Kluyveromyces lactis: one gene and its partner. The protein of the gene in region 2 interacts with the protein of the main gene of each other region in a pairwise test. Links are inferred from orthologs where the notes say so. Each region holds a gene or a part of one and is shown on either strand. Other genes may lie near its edges.

Region 1 (4,738 bases), on a different chromosome or scaffold from region 2:
GTTTCAATTCTGCGTTTTGTTGAATTTCTGCTAATAGTTTTGGATCCTCGGTAGCCATATATCTATCCATGTACAACGTTTCGCCGAAAGGTAGCGGCTCGATAGACTTGAAAGGCATGAATTTTTCTCTATCATAATAGACTCTCTGGATTTGAATTTGTAGAACCGCAGGTAACTCTGAGATAGATACAGTTCTCTTTACATCACCATACTCCTCCAAATTCAAATAGTCATTCTGAAAGTAAAAATCTAAAGCATCATAAATATCCTTTGGATGGTCACCGGTGTTAACCAATAAGGATAAAAACCTTTCATATTTTGTCCGGACAGAAGCCTCATCATTGACTGGTATCAAGTCCTGTTTAATTCTACCGTAAAACAACTGTTTGACAAGATCATTCTGTTCCAAGTCGTCTTCCAAGCTCAAAGGTTCTGAAGCAATCTCAAGCTGAGCCAAGACGTTACCTATACATTCTGTAACATCTTGTTGTCTTCCGATCTCCAATGTATTTTCAAGTTGGTCCGCACTGATTTTAGCAACTTGGACGGAATATTGCTGTGTTCCTGCTTCTGACGATGTTTTATGTTCGGGGAGCGCAACCGGGCTCTGGCACATTATGATATCATCATCACAAGACGCTAGGTGACGAGTAGTATCAGTGGGGTCTTCGACGACGTCAGTTGTTAAGTCGATGAGTTCTTTCTGGGCAACAGTATCGTCACCGAACTCCACCTCGACATTACTCGGAGCAAAGGCTAAGTAGACCAACTCTTTTGTGGGCGTGACGCATCTACTGTTTGTGTGGATCATGTCATTGAACAAATCACGAAGATGGTAGACAAACTGGACCGATCTAAGCTCTTCTTGTTTGCTGACCTCCCTGCCTCCAATTCTTCTTCTAGAGTGATATTCAGACGCATCCAGTAATTTAGCAGAGTCATCATCATAATTCAAAATAAAATCACGTAGAGGTTTGATAGTGAAAAAGAATTGAAGTAGTGAGTTTAGGTAGCATGTATTTCCCACATTATTGATTCCAGCTGGCCATGTAGCAACAGGAAGACAACTTACGTCCACAATACCGGTGTCTAAAAAGTGGTTGATAAGTTTACTATTTCTAGTAAAACCAATATTCTGAAGGGCCATTTTCAACTTCAATAGATAATCAGGACCTGTCATAATTCCGTGACTCCATTTCTTTTGAAAAACTTCAAGGATGACATCGTCGCTTGCATTCATGTCAATTTCAATGATGTTCAATGCTTCATCGTATGATATGTCAGTGCAGTTGTAATATTGCGCAAATTCTGGACATTCATCTGTCAAGACATTCAAAAGAAATATTGAGCGCCTATCTAGTGCTATTGTAAAAATCGCCCGATCATAATCTTTTTTCAAACCAGGGGCATCAGCAATATTGATCGTATATGCAGTTTGGATAATATCATCATCTACTGTCTCGTCTACCTTTAAAAGAGTGTAAGCTTGTTGTACATTATAATATGGTTCATACTCCACCAAAAACAACATCTTTTGACTACCTAAATATTTTCCTAGCACACGTAGGGCATTTCTTAGATCTTTTCTTTGATTATCAGAGCTCCTTAATAGATGAGAATTGTAATATTCAATCATCGTATTGGCATCAAGGAGGCTTGCGTCAATGTCAGTTGGATCTAAACCAAATACCTGTAATGCATTATTCAAATCTTCATACCCAACAACATCTTGTTTTCCACAGTAAGCAATAAGCTGGTAACTACCCTTTGCGTTTGTTACATATTGGAGAGCATCAAAATAATGGCTGATGTTTTCCTGATCAAGTGCAATTTGAGTTTCATAGTTTTTAATGATATCCTTATCGATGTACTTAAAAGCAACAGATAGGTTAATAAAATGGTAATTTATGTCGTAGGGGAATGGTTCAATGTGTTGGTGGTTCAAAATATTGAACCACCATGTGTGACTGGCACTAAAATGTTGATTAGAAAAGCACTTTGCCACTGTCTTCTTTTCAGTACCAAGTTCATTTTCAAGTAGCATCGACTGCTTACCAATTAAAACAACCTCCATGGATTTTCTGGTATACGCCTCTCTAATCCCTCTGACCTTAAAATCTGTGATATAATCAACTAAATCTGGTGGCTTATATTCCTCTCCAGATTGGACATTATCTTCTACAGCGGTCTTCTGCAAACTGAAATCAAACATTGTCGTTAACCAGTCAGTATTAATTTGTGAGTTGAGTGCAACACTATCCCTGGAAATAATCTTAAACTCACTATTAGCAGATTTCCTCTGTAATGGGTTCTTAAATATCATGAAAAGAGTTTTCAAACACTCGGCTTGGCTAGGAATATCGTCCGGGTTCAATAAATCAAATTCTTGACATGCATTTTTATATCTTTCCTCAATTTTTGCTGTTCGATATTCAGCTAGGTTCTCTGAATTAAATTCTGGTTTTATTATCTCAACAAGTATAAGTTTATTAGTATCAGCAGAAACAAATATACTTTGGTCTACTAATCTACAGTCTTTCTCTTCCATTATAAAGATATCCCTTTTGTCGAATGGATGTAAAGATTCAGGCTCTAAAACATGATAATGAGTTATCCCAACGTGTCTATTGAAATTTTCCAAGTATGATCTCCTTTTCACAGTAATCTTCAAATGAAAGAAGTATTCAGGAAACTTGTCAATGTCATCAAAGTCATTAGGAGTAAAATTCGGATCTACCAGCAATGCGAACATAACACTGATGGTATTCTTCCCTGGACAAGTCATTGAATCATAATCATATCTGCTTCTCAAATTAACCTGGTCAATTAAATGCACTAGGTTCCACGGTTGCAATTGCTGTCTTTCCCTCGAGTACTGAAGCATTGGTTGTTTCATCACAGATGAACCAAACTTCTTCAAGAACCATGGTGAAATCCTAATGTCATCTAAAATTCGATCGCATGTTTTGAACGGAAAACTTTTCGAAATATCTCCGTACAAAAGCGTCTTACCATCGTCTACTAAATCTGAAAATGATTCCAACGACTTAGATCTCAGTACTTCTGCTGTTTCCGAAACAGAATCTCTCTGTTCGCCATTCAATTCTAAAGCTGGTTCTTGTGAAGCCATCATCAATTCGAGATTCTATTCTCTGCCAAGCTATCCTCAAATTGTCACAATATACTGTAGCGTGTCAAATGTATCAGAATTGAATCACTGGGAGTATTAGAACGAGCCTAGAAGTGGCAAATAGATATTTTTAATTATGCATTTGCCAAAGGATTGAAGATCTAGTTTTCCTTAAAATTTAATGCAATTACTATTCTGATTCTACTTAATTCTTTTGTTACCCTTTAAAATTTGTCAATAGTGGAAATCTGTAGACAGAACCACAATGAGTGTGTGGTGTACGGATTTATACTCACAGTTTTAAATTTAAACGCATTTATGGCGGTACAAAGGGCATTAAAATGAGTCAAAAAGGGCCTCTATTCAAATTACCTATGCCCTGTTTGATGTAACAGCATTGCTATTATTCCGAAAAGACTGAAACAGCTTTACAACTTGTTTTTCTGAGTACTACGTAAACTATAATTTATAACTCAATGTAACCTATTCAACCTTTGAATGTTGAAATAGGTTCATAAAATCCAGAACTTTAAAACGCAGTCGTTGAGTTAAAAAGAGGAAAAATAGTTCGATCAGTGGCACCGCTTCATAGTGAGCATCTGAAGAATTTTAGTAGTCGTTACTTGAACACCAACAAGCAAAGTAGAAGAGGAACGGTCATCTCTGTCACTGTTTCTATCGTTACTTTTAGAGAATCATCTATGACGGACTTCACAAGCCACTTTCCTACAACGAAATCTGTAAACTGCAGAAGAGAGAAAAACATAATTAAAAAAAAACCAATATAAAAGATGTTGCATGAGGAGTTGAAAAATTTAGGGAGGAAGAGCTTCAGGGTCTAGTCAATATCTTTTCCGAAACTGATCATAGGTAGCTTATAGTGGCGTTTGATCACAGTAAGTGTTAAGATATATACTATCCATGGAATAACAATAATAAGATGGGAAATAAAACGTCTACACTTTCAAAGAATGATTTGACCAGTTTGAAGCAATCTACGTATTTCGATCGCAGAGAGATCCAACAGTGGCACAAAGGGTTTCTACGGGATTGCCCGAACGGCCAGCTAACTAGAGAAGAGTTCATCAAGATATACAAACAATTTTTCCCCTTTGGCTCGCCAGATGAGTTTGCTACGTATGTGTTTAGCGTGTTTGACAAGGATAATAATGGATCCATTGACTTCAAAGAATTTATCACAGCATTAAGCACCACTTCCAGGGGCTCCTTAGAGGAAAAGTTAGTCTGGGCTTTCCAACTCTATGATTTAAACCACGATGGCGTAATTTCATATGAAGAAATGTTGACCATAGTGTCAAGTATTTATAAAATGATCGGGAACATGGTAAAACTAAGTGACGATGAAGCTACTCCAGAGTTAAGGGTAGAAAAGATCTTTAGGCTTATGGATAAAGACAAAGATGGTTGTATTACGTTAGATGAATTTAGAGACGGATCGAAGGTCGATCCATCTATAGTAGGGGCATTGAATCTTTATGATGGATTGGTATGACCCTTGTGTAACCTGCTTCCATACAACTTACTTAGTGTAAGTTTTCAACGGTTGCACGGCAATTAGGCGGGGGCACTTTTTTTGGCTTGAAGTTG
Region 2 (2,700 bases):
GTAGGGGTATCCAGTAAACCCTCACGTTCGGTATCCTCACCGAGCTCACTCAAAATAGTCTTAACCGCATCTGCAATACGACCAACCCGTTTTTGTTCTTCTTCATCCGTTTCCTCTGCTCTTTCACGAGCACCAATACTAGGCCATGATAAACCGTCTTTTTCCACAGTAGGATTTAAGGTATAAGGCGAAGCTGGACGAATGTTCAAAGGAGTAGCACGTCTTTCAATCTGAGAGACGTGCGAGATATGTTTGTTTTCCATTATTGAATATAGCTAGCTGTATGGGTTACCTGATATGGGTTACTAATCCATGCAAAAGAAAGACCCTATAAATATGTGATACTGGTCAGACAACGGGACTTGTTGAGAGAAGCCGACAGAAGGAGACACGTACGCACAAACTAACACACAAAACGACAAACTTTCACTGAATTATCCAATCAGTTAAAGCTTGAAAGAGCCAACCCAAAATCGAAAACTTTACAATGGAACAAATGCATATGGTACGCTTTATACCTCTTGTTTCCTATAACTCGAACTCATCGAAATTTTTCACTTTTTGTCATACAAGGAAAAAAAGTAAAACTGTGGAAACACCGTACCATGAGAAGCAGCAATTAGACATGACTAGTTACTCTATCATGTGCTACCTCAGCCAGTACCCTGCTATTGAATGTTGTTAATGGACAAACATGAAATGAATAGAAATTAATTATGTACAATTTTACTTAAACAGTGTAGAGTTTGGGCGAATCAGATGATCAAACTAGTAGGTTGGTCCAGTAAGAATCCTGCCAAGACCGTAGCATACGGGACACGGTTCTTTATCCAAGAAGAATCGTACCCTACCAGTCCCATTGCAATTGTTACACATCATGCCTCCTATGCGACTGTCACCGGGACGCACAACGATAGGTGCTGAGTTTATGACGAAATTCTGTGGTGGCATCGTGACATTAGAGTATACGAACGCAGGTCTTGGCCCTGCACTTGGACGTGGTGGTTGTGCAGGTGGGGGTTTGTAGAATTTCGACCAACATTTCTTACATTTTTGTTGAGTCTTGATCTTGGTGCCAGTGTTCCCGCATTTTTTACAATAATATCCTGGAGGGTACGTCCAGGGTAGTTTCTTATTGCCAGTACTGGTACTGGTACTGCTTGAAAAGGTACTAGTGGAATGATGGTACGCTGGTATGGCATTGCTTGGCCGGGGCGGTCTTGCTGGTGGTTGTGTTGGACGTGGTGGAGGGTTTGGTGGGAGCTGCTGCTGCTGCTGCGAAGCAGCAGCAGTATCTTGTCTCAGCACTTCATCATACGACGGAAGATGCTCATCTGGCTGTATATCTGATTCTGATTTCATTGAAGTATTCTCAAAGTGACTGGTTCTCTGATCTCTGTTCTTTACTGATCCCGATCCCGTTCTCCATACACTTTTCTTTGACTAAATATATGTCCCTTATATATCTTGATCTTTTATATATACGTGATTTATTTGGCAGATGCACCTAAAATGAGGAAACCCTATAGCACGACGGCTGCAATGTGGACGAATCCCGATCCTAAACTGGGCTTTTAGCCATTGATAACTACTGGATGCAGCCAGTGAGTAACTGCGGACTTACAGACAAGGGTCCACTCTTGCCAATGCTCCTACTAATGGTTCTAATGGGCATCAAAGTCAAAGCCTTGATCAGTTCATGTTACCCGGACCATATATACAAATATCCGGGTAACAAACTCATATCTCTGCTCTGGCGATCTCATACTACTGACAAAGGAATCTGTCATCAATCAACAGACACCTGAGAGAGACAAGCAACTTCATATGGTTAGGAGTATCTGACTATGGGCGTTGCAATGCTAATATAAATTAAATTATTTACCTGGGTGTACATGTTATGTAGAATCTCTTCCTAATCCGTTGCATGGGCGGCATGGCTGGCATGGCTGGCATTGCTGACATGTTTACCCAAATGCTTTACTACAGCTACACCTAAGAGCACAACTGTGAGTATAAGACCACGTCTTGCTGGAAACTGCCTTCTATTGAATCTTGACCAACATGTTCTACACCTGCGTTGCGTCCTGGTCTCTACACCGGTGTTCCCGCACCTTCTACAGTAATACCATGGAGGATACGTCCAGGGAAGCTGGTCGATATCAGTACCGGTATTGCAGCTACTGGTAGTGGTGGAATTGGTGGCATTATTTGGTATATCATTGGACGCATCATTTGATTCGTCATTTGGTTCATCATTTGGTTCATCATTTGATGCCTCTTGATGCCGAGAAGCACCGGTAGACGAACCTTGTCCGACTGCTTCGTCATACGACGGAAGAATACCTGATTGTTTAACTGACGCTGCCATTATAGAATGTTGGGTCACGTGCCTAACAGCCAACGGCTCCTTCCAACCTTTCTTCCATGCATCTAGTTAGACATCTGGCTTATGCGTGTCTTATATATCCATGACTCGTCTAGCAGATGAGTGAACCATCATATCCACGCAATAACATGCAAATCCACGGCTCTAAGGTGGAAAAAGGAACCCTAAATGGTGTATAGTAATGGTGGCTTCAAGGGTATAAACCATTGGACTTAATAGCAACGGCCGGTAAATTTGCTGATTCAAAGCCTCGAACGATTTTCGTTACCCGGAAAACACAATGACCGGGTAACACTTCACGTCTTTTCAGT

What was found.
Region 1: the proteins of KLLA0_A09757g (region 2) and UBP2 interact in a two-hybrid assay, tested with the Saccharomyces cerevisiae proteins (2 studies listed by BioGRID). The link is inferred for Kluyveromyces lactis from reciprocal best matches to the Saccharomyces cerevisiae genes HUA1 and UBP2.

The regions. Positions count from the first base shown.
Region 1 is NC_006041.1:219,177-223,914, forward strand, and holds the start of UBP2 (ubiquitin-specific protease UBP2), read right to left. Parts: upstream 3,134-4,738; coding exon 1-3,133. Other genes in the region: FRQ1 (frequenin), read left to right, coding at 4,071-4,643. UniProt on the Saccharomyces cerevisiae protein: Has an ATP-independent isopeptidase activity, cleaving at the C-terminus of the ubiquitin moiety in natural or engineered linear fusion proteins, irrespective of their size or the presence of an N-terminal extension to ubiquitin.
Region 2 is NC_006037.1:854,638-857,337, forward strand, and holds KLLA0_A09757g (uncharacterized protein), read right to left. Parts: upstream 1,363-2,700; coding exon 769-1,362; downstream 1-768. Other genes in the region: FOL2 (GTP cyclohydrolase I), read right to left, coding at 1-263; KLLA0_A09779g (uncharacterized protein), read right to left, coding at 1,916-2,371. UniProt on the Saccharomyces cerevisiae protein: May be involved in assembly and disassembly of the actin cytoskeleton.